2 linked regions of the Struthio camelus genome follow. The protein of the gene in region 2 binds, or shares a complex with, the protein of the main gene of each other region. Links are inferred from orthologs where the notes say so. Each region holds a gene or a part of one and is shown on either strand. Other genes may lie near its edges.

What was found. Proteins that work in one complex are often made in the same cells at the same time.
Region 1: MED26 (region 2) and MED8 share a complex: the UniProt entries of both Homo sapiens proteins name them as parts of the mediator complex. The link is inferred for Struthio camelus from reciprocal best matches to the Homo sapiens genes MED26 and MED8.

What each region holds. Positions count from the first base shown.
Region 1 is NC_090949.1:25,439,510-25,447,248, reverse strand, and holds the start of MED8 (mediator of RNA polymerase II transcription subunit 8), read left to right. Parts: upstream 1-4,722; 5' UTR 4,723-4,815; coding exon 4,816-4,821; intron 4,822-7,739. Other genes in the region: KICSTOR complex protein SZT2, read right to left, coding at 1,176-1,307, 3,156-3,326, 3,653-3,826, 4,016-4,141, 4,660-4,689. UniProt on the Homo sapiens protein: Component of the Mediator complex, a coactivator involved in the regulated transcription of nearly all RNA polymerase II-dependent genes.
Region 2 is NC_090967.1:5,333,585-5,340,829, forward strand, and holds the start of MED26 (mediator of RNA polymerase II transcription subunit 26), read right to left. Parts: upstream 3,009-7,245; 5' UTR 2,964-3,008; coding exon 2,889-2,963; intron 2,360-2,888; exon of another isoform or gene 2,213-2,359; intron 1-2,212. Other genes in the region: SMIM7 (small integral membrane protein 7), read right to left, coding at 6,350-6,365, 6,988-7,078. UniProt on the Homo sapiens protein: Component of the Mediator complex, a coactivator involved in the regulated transcription of nearly all RNA polymerase II-dependent genes.

The DNA.
Region 1 (7,739 bases), on a different chromosome or scaffold from region 2:
AAAAAAGTTTCAGTCTCTGCCCTTCCCGTAGGGCCTCCCACCTCCACCCTATCCTATGGCAGGATTTGCCAGTCCCTCTGGCCTGGTAGTGCGTCCCTTTCCTCCATTTGCATAGAAGAAGTTGCAGGGTAGCTGAATATGAGAGAACTAACTGCAGCAAGCAGGAATGCATACAAAGCACTGCAAAAACACCAGCTGGGCACACTGGAAAAGATATTTCCTTCCTGCAAGTCGCTTGCTCTTCCGGGACTGATGGATAGACTTAATATTCAGAGGTATAAATATTTTTCAGCTAGAAGATGAGATTTACACCACTCTGGATATGCAAGTGCCAGAGGTCATCGCTAGTCTCTTGTCCACGTGATTTTGAGACTTTTTTTTTTCCTGCCTTGAGCCCAAATTCTACAAGCTAATACTAAAGGACTAAATAACCTCAACCAGGCCAGCAATGTCTTGACTACAAGAAGAGTGGCCATAGATATTGTTCATTTACGTGAGCAGTGCAGTATCACAATCCAATTTTTTCATTCCTTGTTTCCAAGATCGGGGGATGATCTTGATGAGACATCTACAGACAGCCTGAATCCCTATGAAGTCTTGCTTTACTTTTCACCTCAAGCTGTATTTTATACTGCTATTAATAACTTACTGATACCTATATCCTTGACTAATAAAAACATCTACCACAGATTTTAAGGAGTATTTGAAACTCTACAGGCTGTTTATTCAGCTTCATGGTCAGTTTTTATGGTAACAAGGAAGTATTTTCATTCAAGATTGTAACAAGGGCCAACAGAATATTCACAGCTATTTATAGATTAATGATACAATTCTAATCACCTTTCCCACCATCTTCTTCAGATAGAAAGCAGTCCTAGAAAGAAATCATAGAGTCTGTCCCATGACATCAAAGGAGTCAGGTTGCTTTACTATATAATAATCTCGGACAAGGGAAATGTTCATGTCAGTCCTTCTCCTAAACGCTTACTGCTTCTGCTTTCCTCAGAGTTCATTTTTCATGACTAGATCCCACAAAGTTCTCTTACAAACTCCTTAGTCGTTCCTTCTCCAGACCTGCACTACTGTTCCTCTCGTTGTCAGCCCACCACAGAGGGGCCTCAGAGCGCAGATCTCCAGTGAGCCAAAAAATCCCCAATGACCTCTGCCCTCCTCACCTGTGGTTTAGGTTCATACTGCTGCTGGAGCATCTTGGCCACTTTGTTCTCAAAAGCGCATAGCTGCGCGTACACTTGGTGCAGAAAGGCCTCTTGCTTCGTCTCATCCAGCTGACAGCCCTGGAATAGTACCTGGCCCAGGGATACACAAGGCAACCATTAAGTTAGGGGGTCAGAGTACCGGCCCCCTTAACAGCACACGGGAACGCAGTTCTCACCGGGGCTGTCGGGCATCTCCCTGACAAAGTACAGGTAACGCACAGGCCTCTTCCTGCGTGAGGCCAAATGCATGCATGCAGGGACGTTTCGTGGCATCTGCAGCACACTCTGCAGCAGATGCCTACAGCATTCTCTTGGAATCTCGTTCATAAGCAAGAGCTTTCTACTTCTTTTGCCTTCTTCTTGCAGTGGTCAGGAGAAAGCAGTGTGGAATCCTTGTTAAAAGCCTTTAACTCTGATGTGACATTTCCAAAGAAGGCCTGTTTTTTTTTAATCTAACTCACCTATAGACTGATCCAATTATCTTCCAGTAAGTGGATGGAAAAAGGAACAGTTCGTTGAAATAAAGACAATAAAAAATTTAATCGGATGTTACAGAAGAGGCTAAGTGATGTGACAGAGGGACACTGTCAACACAGAAACTCCCCAAGCTGATAGGCAGGACGCTCGGGCATCGTGCAGACTATCTCTGCCCAGACCCAGGTATCACAGAACACGGAGGCAAACGGGATGCAATGTGCAGACAAAGCGTTCAACAGAAGGCAAGGACGCTCCTTGTTATCATGCCATCCCCTCACCCTAAGGTGAGCACATAGTGACATGGGAAAAATAAACAATTACAACAGATATAGGCTTTCTTGGATGAGTTACACACATATGTGCCTTTTCCTCCACAAAAGGAACACACAGCTTTTTCAGTTATGTCCAGAGATGACAGTTACTGGCCTCACACAAGAAATAAGATTTTAGAACAGATCCAAAGAATAAGAAATTACCAACTTTGCAGTACTCAATTCAGTGTAAGTAGGGGAAATACTGAGGCAAAGCATGGTGATGTCTGAAGGACACCTGGACAAGATTACACACAAAATATCATGGCAAATAGGGAAATTCCTGCTAAGCATACTTTCATAGCACCTAAAAACTGACCAAGGTGAGGGCCACGCTCTTCAAGCACTGTACAGACCATTAAAGCTTGCAGCCTGCACAGAAGGCTTGGGAAGAGGTGGACCAAGGAAGGGAGAGGGAGGGAACAGGTCTATGTTGAACAGCATCATCTGGTTACCACACAATTTCTGTGGTATGACCAATGGCATGAAACACACCATCAGAAACGGGAAAATGATGTGAAACTACTGCGAGGTTGAGGGGACCGATACAAGAAGAATAAACTTCAAAAACCCCTACTGGCACTATAAACCAGAACCTGCTCTGTCTCAAGTAACTGTGAGGTTACTGGGGCTAGGCTGCTCTCTCCAGCAAGGAGAAACATACTCACACTGGTACAAAAAGAGAGCAAGGTTTGTAGGAAGAGGTAATCATCTTTGAATAAATCACTGCTACACAGTTGGAGCAGGCAGACAAGCTTTTGGGCATACCACCTCCTCTTGCATGTTTCAAGTTAATTACAACAGGCCAAAGAAATTAGTCAGCAAAACAATTTAAACAGGGGAAAAAAAAGCATTAGACATAACATGAGGGAAATATTAATTACAATCTATCTCTGAGAACATGCCTACAGGCAGCGTTCTCTGCTAGGCCCTGCTCCCCCATGAGAAACCTCTGCTTCCAGCCCAGAAAAGCTGCTCATGTGCATTCCCCCCATTGCACCAGGCTGCACGTTTGAATGAAACAAGTCTACAACAATATCTTTAACAAAGCCCAGCTAACACATGTCCCACTTCCCTTTGTGTTCACGGGCAACCAATAAAGCAAGCTGCTCACGTGCTGAGATGCGCCAAGGGAGAGACTGAATTTTACCTGATGGGACTGCAGGCCAATGATGGAGGAATATGCCTGGATGGTCACAAAGATCTCTGGCTGGTAAATAATGTCCGAACCAGGGATACGAAAGGGTCTTAACAACCCCACTAAGCATCGGGAAAGAGCGTGAAACACTTCGTCAAAAATTATCTCCCCTGTTGAGTCATCCTACAGAAACAGAGAAAAGAAACTTAGCTTCTTCATCTGCCAGGACTTTCAATCTCATTGACAGCCGCCGCACCACACAAAGCTAACAAAAAACATCCTTCTGTAACAGCAGCTGGTAAGCAAAGGCCACACATGGAGCATCCAGCAGAGACACAGGATCTGCCAGTAAGCTGACCAGCTAGGAGCATTTCATGCCTCACTCCTGGGAAAACAAGTGCTCTGCAAAAGCTAAGACTGACATAGAAAGGAACGAGCCTTCTCAGCAGAGAGAAACGAGTCCAACCTTTCAACAAAGGGCACCCCAAGAAGATAGTTTCTGCACTTACCACAATCCCCGTGGAAGGGCTCAGGTCAAGTTCAATCACAAAGCGGTACTGGCGGGCCAGGAAGGTGACCCGTGTTGAGGGCACTAGGAGATAGGGCCTAGGCTGGACAGGCTCGTCTGGCTGCCATCCATTAGGCAAGATGCTGAGAACATCCAGTTCGTTTTCCGACTTCACCTACATGAAAAGGTGAATGGTAAGTGAGAGAACATTAAGACAAGCCACATGTATCAAAGCAAGAATCAGAATAAAGAATAGGGTTAAAACCTTCTGCAGGGCCTGGCTGCTCATGAGTAGCGCAGAGCCCAGAGCCAGCTGGCCACGTCAGGATGTGGCAAGACCAACCAGCCCAGGGCACCAACTCACCAGCTCCGGCTCAGGCACAGCCCAGATGACCTGATGGAGTCGGCTGAGGACCCAAGCAAGGCGCACGTTGCGGGAGATGCGATAGTCTTTCTTCATCAGGAGGAAGACATGCCCTGCTTCCTCCACCTGCAGCGTGTGGGAGCATGGCAAGCCCCCTGGTCACCCCAGGAGTCAGCCAGCCCCCCAGAAGAGGGAAGAGGCTGGCACTGGCTGGGGCTGGCCACCACAGACCTCACCAGCACCTCCTTAGTTGGCCTTTGCCAGCATCGCTCATCTGCCCCCACATCCACCCCAAGACGTGCCTCAGCCCCTCGCCTTTCCCCCACCTGCACCAGCCCCCACGTTCCCTCACAGACCCAGCCAGCCCCATCGCTCCTAACCACGGCCCTGCCCCCCCCATATCCCCTGTTACCCCCCACCTCAGCCCTGCCCCCCAAAACCCGTTACCCCCCACCTCGGCTCTTCCCCCCCATATCCCAGTTACCCTCCCACCTTGGCCCTGCCCCCCCCAACACCCCTGTTACCCCCCACCTCGGCCCTGCCCCCCCAACACCCCTGTTGCCCCCCCACCTCGGCGATACCCCCCACACCCCAATTACCCCCCCCTTCAGGCCTGACCCCCCTCCGTCCCGGCCCGCCCCCACCTCCGCGTCGGCCCGCTCGGAGGCCGCCATGTCCGGCCGCAGGCCCCGCCCCGCCCCGCGCCCTCTGACCCCGCCCTCCGCCCGCCCCGCCCTTCCCGCGCTGCGCGCCCTGACCCGGAAGCGAAGCTCTCCCGTGGCAACGGCCGCGGTGCCGCCATGCAGGTGAGGGGCGTCGGGCTCGGCCCGGCTGCCGCCGCCGGCAGCGGGGGGGCTCTGAGGGCGCCGCAGGCCCGAGGCGAGGGCGAAGGCGAAGGGGCGCGGGGCTGCGGCTGCTCGGGCCCGGCCGGCCGGCGGCCGCCCGCGGCTCCCGGGCCTCGGCTCTGCGCAGGCCCGAGCGCAGCGTGTGTAGGCCGCGCTGGGCCTCGGCTCCCCTGCGCCCCGGAGAGGTGCAAGCAGCCAGGCAGAGTCGGCAACGCTGGCCCCGACCTCTGTCAAAGGCGCCTGCCCGGCGGCACCTGCCGGGCCGCGTCGCTGCTCGGCTGCTTGCAGGGATGGGGTCGCGCCGAGCGGCCCGGCGGGCGGGCAGCAGCTCTTCGCCGCAGGCCAGCCGTGATGCGCCTCTTTGGGAGCTTGGCCTTGCCCTCGAGCTGTTGTCCAGTGCTTTCCTGTGCAGCAACCTCCTTTTGCTGCACACGCGTAGACTGAGTATGTGTATAGATAACTGAGTCTCTTGTTCCCTCTCAGCAGCCGGTGCAGCCTTTGGTGAGAGTGGCTGCACCGGATCAGGCCAAAGGTCTGTGTCCCCCCCCCCCCCCCATCGTGTTTTTGACACTAGCCAAGAAGTAGGTGCCCGGGAAAAATGGTGAGAGCAGAGTATGCTTGAGGGCTGTTCTGTGCAGACTATTGCTAAAGGGTCCCATGTATTTAATAGCTTTTGATAAACTTTCGTCCATGGAAGAAGGATCCAGTTACTTACTGAACCTTGGGGAATTGTTAGCGTCCATAATGTCCGATGGAAAGGAGTTGCACAGGTTAATGGCAGGTTAACAGGCTGTGAAGAATTGCCTCCTTTGGTTTGTTTGAGCCTGCTACCTCCTGCTTTAATTCAAGTTTCCTAATTGTCATGCCAGAAAAGAAGGTGAAAATGGATTGTCATGCAATTCCTCGTGTACTGATGTTTGTTATATTGTCTCTCCTTCTCTTTTCTGCCGCTCACACAAACTGGTCTCTTTTCTATGTTCGACTGCTATGCCTGTAGAAGCTGACGTATGTCTTCGATCATCCTTGTTGCCTTTCTTTGTACGTACTCCTACTATATCCTTTCTGAGATAGAGGGACAACAGTTACAAACAACAGTCACGATGAAAACGAGGCATATGTTTATACAGTGATATAATGATGCTTAGTTTTATGTTCCTTTTCTAATAAATCCTATTATTGTTTTTGTTTCCTTGACTGATTCTTGAGCCTTGGGCTGATTGTTTTTGGAGGATACTCCAAAGATCTTGGTTTTTGAGTGACAATGTTATCAGTTCAGAGAATGTCATTGTTTATGAGGAGCTAGATTCCTTTTTTGTTTGTTCTGCCACGTGCATTGCTTTATGTTTACCTACACTGAATTTAACCTTTACCTCCCAGTCACTCAGTATCAGGAGGTCCTTCAGCAATCTCTCCTATAAGCCCTCTCTTTGCTACCTTGGGATAATCTAGTATTGTATAACAAACTCCTTAAAGCACTGCTTGAATATATTGTGTGCCTGCAATAGGTACAGAACTTCTTGGAAGTACTGATCTTAAGCACTGGTGAAGCCTGTACACATTACATCTGCTTCCTGCTCTTAACGGCTTTGGAGGAGGCGCTGCTGTGAGAACAATGTGTGGGCAATATGGTTGCATTCGTCTTCTTGAGGGCCTCTTGGATAAGCACAGGCCATAGGCTGCATGAATTGCCTTAGATGCATATGCCTGGCACCTCTGCAATAAACACTGGCTACCTGCCCAACTTGTAATACAGTCATTGATTAATTCTCTTGCACAAGCATAGTGCACACAACGAGTTGTAGACTCATTTCTTAATTGCACAGAAACTGCCCATCTCCATCACAAGATGGAGGAGAGCTATAGTGCTTTAATCTTCAGATGCAACACCCAGCAATCTGCTTCGAGGACTAGGGATCAGATTCTACCAAAGTTGACTCAGCCTTTTTTTTGAAGGTGGTTAAGTGAAGTGAAGTCTGGTCAGTGTTTTCTAAAGATACCTTTTATTTTCTTACCAGTTTATAAATTAAATAGAAAAATCTCATGTTCTCATGGATATAGAAGATACCTGATAATCTCTTCAATGAAGCTCATGCTAGTCCAGTTCATTTAAACAGAACAACATAAACAAACAAACCCCATAGCAAGCATGCAAACAGAATGATTCACCCTCTGTGCTTTCCCAATTGGCATTCCCTTTCTATTATTTGATTGTAATGTCCCACCCTCCAGGTGGATTATTACTGTACAGCGCTTGACTTATATTAGCAGTTTATTAGGGCTGGAACTTCAATTGTATTTTGTGCAACTCTTCTGTTGTATGAATATATAAGAACAGAAAAGATTCTAGAGAGTTTTTGCAAGAGGGTTTTTGTCTCGGTATCTTTGGCAACAGATTCCTTATCCTCTGATTTTTTGCTTGTGGCCATCCTACTTCACCCAGGGATGTTGGTGGAAAAGGAATTTAATCAGTGCAGTTCAGGCAAAAGGCAGGAGGTGACCTGCATGTGTGTCCAGGTTCTGTATGATCCCTATTACAGCAGTGCCTCCCACAACTGGTAAGGCACAAGTAAAATGGGAACTCCTAATTTCTCTAGCAGCTAGAAATGGCACTTGGGCAGGAAGAAGGTAAAGAATGAGATGAAGGGTAGAAACTGGAGTCTTTAGGCCACGGACCCGATGCTTATTTTGCACACGGCTGCTTTGGATGAAGACATTACTGTATCCACATTTGCTAGCAGAAGGAGTTGAGTGAATGCTAATTACCTTGAGCTGGGCTAGCTTAAACAGCTCACAGAAGTGGCATGAGCTAACTCTGATGACACTGTCTGAGGTGGTAAAAAGAAAATGCAAGTGATAATGTCTTCATTGTGCTCATCTGG
Region 2 (7,245 bases):
CCCAAAGGGAAAAGGCTGAATAAGGGAATATATAATACCAGATACCTTGAGTGGCTTCCCAAACGAGACAGTATTTAAGCAGTTTATTTCTTATAGGTGTCCTTTGAAATAAAGGTCATACATGTAAACTCTAAACTAAGTGTGTGAAACTAAGTTATAAGTATGTTCTGCATCAATTACTAGAAGAGATCTCAAGCGCTAAATGCATCTGTACAATTAAAACAGGGCTTAACGCAGTGGTTAAAACAAAGATGAACAATTGGTGCAGAAGATGACTTCTGATAGCAAGCAGGTACCAAGAACCTGGGGAAAAGATTACTCTGAACAACTAAACTCAACACAGATAGGGCAATTTATTTTTTATTTTGTTAAAGCAGGACATCAGAGTTACTCCAGCTCTGTATGCACTTCAAAGACCTTTACAGTTACATTGGGATATCCACAGAAGAGAAACAGCTTGTATTAGAGAACATATCAGTGAAGCTTAAATTCAAATCATCCCAAATTAAAGCACTACAGAGAATAGTCTTCCCTCTCCTCACCCTCACAAAACTGGATTGGCCTTCTGCACACGTGAGGGTATCAGGGCAGTTTTCACCCTTACTCCCCTCCAGAAACATGCACATATACACAGCAACAATTATATTGGAAAAGTCTGAATGAAATCCAGGCCTCACAGCTTGTCTTTCTTGGTAAACAAGGAAGTCAATCACAATAATGAATACTTTTAAGTTTGAATGCAAGCACTTCTTTTAACACAAGAGTCTAAAAGGCCAGAAGAAAGGAGCTACAATTTTCTGCCAGTGCTAACAGCACTGCGGCTCAAAGCTGCATTAACTTCTTACTGCAGGAAAAGATTATCAGAGCAGTTTCTTATACTTTCACATTGGGACTCGAGTCAGATTCAATTCAGAATTTACTTTTAAAAGTGTTCAAGATTTAAGTTTTTTGTTCCCTTCATGAAAACAGCAAGACAGGTAGTTTTATCTATTGTTTACCATCTATTCTACAGGCTTCAGAGAAAAAAAAAACCTCTGACATCTAAGTCTGCACCAACTAACCTCAGCTACGCCAGTCTCATTTGAGGAAGAGGTTAAAATGGAAGACAGCCCCCTGCCTACAGGCATTTCTAAACAATGGGGCGATTTTTCCACCACTAATTATTGCCCTGGATAAGTATCAAGTATGTAGAATTATAACTTAATATACACTACTCTTCAAGCATATGCGGCTACTGACCTGTCAGAAGCTCAGCAGAGCTGCTGGCTGATGCTCTACTTCCCTTTGCAGAGAATTGTCTAGTTATTTCTGAACCCCCTCGTCACAACCAAGCTGGAAGCACTCTTAGAGGCATCAGAAAATACAGCATTATTTAGCATTAATGGATGGGGAAAGGGAGAAGTATCCATCATAAAATATATCTCCTGGTTACTTACAGCCACAGTGTTTTAGAAAGTAACACCAGAGGTAGGAGAACCAGGGCTGCCAACAGCTTTAAAGTTAAAAGAAGCCACAGATCTCTTAAGAGTTTTATTAAACTAGGTAGGTGCTCAGTCTAATGTCAAGTGAAAAGACTGCAGCCACCAAGAGAACCCAGAGCAAACAGAATTCATGAAGTATACAGACATCTCACTAAGAACCGAGTTAAAGTACTGCAAACTTGAATAACTTTGACATTTAAAAGCCCACAATTGCCATTACAATTCGTTACTGTTACTAGAACATGTAATGCTCCTGCTCACGACAGATGTACATCATAGTAGATTACTCAAGAAATTACAAGGTCAGGGTGATTTTTCTTCAGTTTTCATGCCACACACAGGCTGCTCTAGAACGTTTCCAAACTGCAAGAACTTTATTAGCTACTTCAAGATTGCAATACACATCTAATACCGAATATAGTTATTAAGAGGAAAGAAGTATGACTTTAATAGAGTCAAAACCTTGTTTTATATACCCAGCCTCCTGGAACTGCCATTCAGTGCGACGCACCCTTAGCTGTGCCCGCCCCCCCCCCCCAAAAAGCCACAGATGGTCAAGCCAAACCCACCTTTGCATCCTGCTGTAGTGACTTTTGAGCTAAGATTTAGCAATCTGACAGATTGCAGACTCCGCAGTCCTCTCCCAGAAACAAACGCCTAAGCGGAAAACTGCTTTAACATGCCAAAAACCTTAAATGGATTAAATAACACTTCAGATAACCGCAACTTACAGGTGAAACCCACTTACAGGTGAAGCAAACGCCGACTTCTGCGCTCACGCTACATCCCAGAGCCAGCGGATAAGCTCATTAGCGCCGTGCGGAGAGGGATAAAGGCGAGGAGCGAGCCTGCCCTGCGCCAGAGCCGCCAAACCACCGTCCGGCGCCTCCAGGCGCCCCGGTACGGCCGGCCGGGGGGGGCCCCGGGCCCGAGGAACAGGTGGGCGCCGCGGAGGGTCCCGGCGAGCGGCGGCGGGAGCCGGCCCAGAGCCCCCTGCAGGCCGCGCCCGAGCCGCGGCCTGGCGTCGGGAGGCCGCCGGGCCGCACGCCGCATGGCCGGGCAGCGGCAGCCGGCCCGGGGCGGGGGGGAGCGGCGGAAGGACGCGGCCCCCCGGCAGCGGAGAGACCGCCGGTTCCGGTACCGGCCCCGCCGCGCGGAGCAGCGAGGCGCCGCGGGACCCCCGGCGGGCACGGCGCCGGCGGAGCTCCCCGCTGCCGCCCGCAGCGGAGGCTTCCGGTGCCCGGGGAGGAGCCGCGCCGCAGCCGGGGTCCCGGCGGGCGGGCGGAGGCGGCGGCCGCGCGGCCCACGAGCCGCGGCGGGACCCCCCGGGCGGGAGGGGGGCTGCCCGCGGCCGGCGTCCCCCGCGCTGCCGGCACCCGAGCGGCGGGCGCGGCGGGCCGTACTCACGTTGCTCTGCGGGTCGATGGCCTGCAGCAGCCGGTCCCTGATCTGCTGCGGGGAGGGCGCCGGAGCCGCTGTCATTGCCTGGGCGAAGCGGGGCGGCTGCGGCCGGGGCGGGCGGGCGGCGGGGCCGGGCCGGGCCGGGGCGGCGGCTCCTCACTCGCCGGCGGCGGCGGCGGCGGCCTCCTCGGGGAGCCGGAGTGGCATGATCGCTCCCCGCCAGGCGGGGGAGGGGGGGGGAGCGGCGCGCGGGGCGGGGCGGGGCGCGGGGGGGCCGCGGCGGCGCGACCGGGCCGGGCCCGACTGTTCCGCTCGGGGCCGAACTCAACTGTGGGCAGGAGCCAGCCCCGCGCAGGGCACCATGGGACACGCCCGACGCCGTTACGCACGGCGCGCCTCTGACGTCTGCCGCCGTACGGCGCACGCAGCGGCGGGCACGCATGCGCCGCGGCGGCGGGGGTGGCGGTGCAGCGCATGCGCAGTCGGCCGCGAGGTGCCTGTCGGGGGGAAGGGGGGGGCCGGCCCGGCGACGGGAGCCGTCCGGGGCGGGGGGGGGAAGAAGCGCGTGGCGGGGCCTGGTCTGGCCGCCGTCTCGAACCGGTGCGGCGGTTGGGGGCAGCCCCCGCTCCCCCCCCCCCCGGCAACCGGCGCCCCCGCAGCGCAGGGGAACGAAGCACAGGACACCCTCGGGACGCCAAGGCGTTTATTTGCAAAGGTTTGAATAGTCCCTGCTCTGTCAGCACTTCTGGGAGTCATCGTCTACAAGAGGCAGTTCCTAGATGTCCGATGTGAAGACACGTTTTAGATATATATTCATTTCTCCTGCATCTATGTACTTGAAGAATTAACCTTAAGAGATGTAGCCCAAGAGTCAGTGTTGGGTATCAGAGAAAACCCACTCTCAGCAGCTACTGTTCAGTACCGTGTAAATCTGTACACAGCTTAGGTCCAACTGAAAGATGGAAATAAACAAAAAAATACTTCCTCTTCTGCAGTGTACCGTTTAAAAAAAAATGCTTTTACTGCTTTCCTCACCCATGCTGTCTCTTAGCATCTCTTCCTAGGGCCATTACTCAGCTATTAAAGACACAAGGCAAACGCACACATTTTGAGGCCTTAGTTTATGCTTGCAGGAAGGTGATACACACTCCTACTTGCTTGTGAAAAGTCAAATGTGTTCTGAAAGAAATGATTTCCAATTCCAAACTCACAAAAGACTAAGAGAAGTTTTTGCCTAGTAGAGGAACTTCAGATTTTCATTATTTTCAAAACAACGGGTGAGGTAACTCTGACATTACATACAAACTATACATAGATAAACTTACAATTGCTATGTGGAAAGAGCTAAGCCTACAAAATCTTAACAAATACCGTTCTGTTCAAAGACATATTTAACTTGTCTCTTCTACTGCCTCTCCTTGATTCTGAAGAAAGCACAAGTTAGGTTTTTAGAAGCTTATCATACGTAATTGGACTGAGTACAAAAGCAAATGTACAAGATTTTGTACTGATGGACATCGGACGTGACAATTGGTAAGCAGTCAGCCCTTCCACAGCATTTAAGAGCAGTTCCAAATTAACTACTCTCGTCATTTCTAAAGCAGTTGGATGGGAGCAGAACGACTACCTTTGAACTTCTGTTCTTCTGAAGAACTGAAATTTTGGGGTGACAGCACTCAGTATTAATCTGCATTATCTATTTGGAGCTTTAAAATTGTGTATTTTCCTTTACCAGTAGAGTTTGATCATCCTCCATTCCCTGTGTTCGCCATATTCAAAGGGTCACTCAGAAAGCGGAATATGAGTTCTGCACAGGAACAACCATTTTTCTGAGTGAGAATTAAAACCCAGAGTCTGAAAATGAGACCCGAGTGCTTCTCTGCTGACTATAAGGGCCCTCTAGTGGCTTAGGCATAAAACTGATAAAAACTTCTTACAATCTCTGCCATGTACATTTCACTGAGGAAGACTCAGCTGAATGAACGTTAGGGAGAAAATGCTTTCCAAGGATTATATAAAGCAGTGGACTTGTCTGGATGCCATCTCACAGATACCATGACAAGAACAGCACATTACTCTCTTTTACTCATTAAAAATACATTAGAAAAGAGTTAAGGTATAAAATACAAAAATTACACACAAGACATCTCCTATAATTTAGCCGAAGATTGTAAATGCTTCTGTGCAATACAAACCTCTCTTGAAGGATCCTTTTCTCCATATATTCGTCTATGTTCATGACTGCGAGGCATCCCCAAAAGAGCGGATGAACACTTTGAACACTTCAGGTAATACAAAAATGCATCACTGGAGTGAACTGCTGCGAGCAGATGACACCTGTGTGCTGACTACTTGGCTGCATCCAGATAAAATTCAAGGTATTGGTTAAAACCAAGCCTCGGTTTAAAATCTTGAGGCCTCTCTTTCTTCTCAACAGTTACATAGCTGAAGAAATTGAGGCTGAGAAAGTTCCACTAATAGTTTTCACTTTGTTTTAAAAGATAACCAGCACTGCACTCTGTCAAGTTATTTTGGTGATGCTGGGGGAAAGTTATGAGTCAAAGAGGCTAACAACATAAATAAATACCATCAAAAGCCAGTCACAGTTGCAACACAGACTAGTTAAAATTTCTCAGAAACATTGATACTGAATTGATTTCTCATGCAGTAGAATGAACACGGACATCAAACACATTTTTACCCATGAATAGAACCTCTATATTCAACCAAATCCAAAATGATTCCAAAACTGTTCCTTAGGGTTGGCATATAGAACAATTTCTGCAATTTTTCTATTCAACTCCTCCTACGTTTTGTTTAGGAAAAAAACACCATCTTTGAAATTTTAATTTAAAAAGCATTTTGTTGGAAAAAATAAAGAGAATCACATGTTTTTCATCATCTTTGTGTATTTCTCAAACAAACTAAATGTAACAGTGAGGAAAAAATGGACGCTGTTTTCAAACTTAAAACAGTATAATACTTTGCTCAACTTTATAAAAATGAGAATAAAGAAGTGAGATTTCAAGTAACCTAGACAATCATGACATTGGCAGACACGTCAAGAGCTGGGAATGACTAAAACTGCACAGTTTTAAGTCTGTGGTCTTCCATTATGCTGCAATTCTACACTGAATACTAAGCACCATACTCTAAGCCAACCAAAACAATTTAAAGTTCTCTATTTGAGTAACGTTGAAATGATTTTACTTTGAACATTTTGGCTCAGGAGCCTAAAGGCTTACTTCCCCAAGCAGCAAGCAAACCAGCATAAGCCATGTAATTATACGACTGACTGAAGAGGATGAACGTGTCCTGTCCCTTTAATATTTTAGAGCTTGTACTGAAGAACAAGCCACAATCCCAGGGCAGTATTTTGAAAGCATTATGGTCTTTTACTTTACAGAAAAGTTATGTTTCCAGCCAAAAGTCTCTTCCAAGTTAACAGACATGTTTGTGGATGACTTTCAAGATCCAAATAACCTAGTGGACGCAACAGAAAAAAGTAGATGAGAATTGGGTACAACCATTAATAGTCATAGCAACGCCATTCCAGCTGGGTGAAACACTAGCATACATCTGGGCATCAGTTCTGCCCTCCCATACATCAGAACATACAGCTACATAAGTGCAAAAGAGGAGATATTTGCTAGCCTGCCTATCAGGACTTACATCTGTGGTTTCCAGAGACTATTTGCAAAGCTGATTCCATTCTGCTACTTGGGAGGACTTTTACCGTTTTCTTAATTTTAGGGAGGGAAAAGTTACACTGAAATGCTGAACCAAATGATGATGCATCTAAGCAACACACAGCGAGAAACCCTATAACTAAGACTAAATGACTTACAAACCAGCAGAGAGATTTTTGTGTACTACAGGTTGAACGCATTAGCAAAAAAATTGTGGAGTCAGTCAAGTCTTTGAAGATCAAAGTAGACATAAGTAAAATGAAAAGTAGCTAAGGAACAAGTGGAGAGAGGGAGAGAGAGAGAGACAGAGAGACAGAGAGAGGGATAAGAAAAAAAGGTAGTTGCAGTAACTCCCCCCCCCCCAAGTATATAACTTTGGATAAACAAATGACAAGATGCTGCACAGCTCTACTTACACAATCATGCAGAACATCATGAAGACGTTCCACAAGGCAATGAAGATTCGAAAATATCTGAGACTCAGCAAGAACTCTCTGATGTTGTCACCTGAAAATCAGGAGAAGAAACTTTTGATGTGAAAAACGCCTTGTACATCAATAATTCACATTTTCAGCTGGAAAACACAAGCAACTCTCAGTTTAAAATAGAAGGAAAAAAAAAAAGTCAGTGAGCAAAAAAAGACAATTGAAAATTTAGGCAACAACGATCCATAC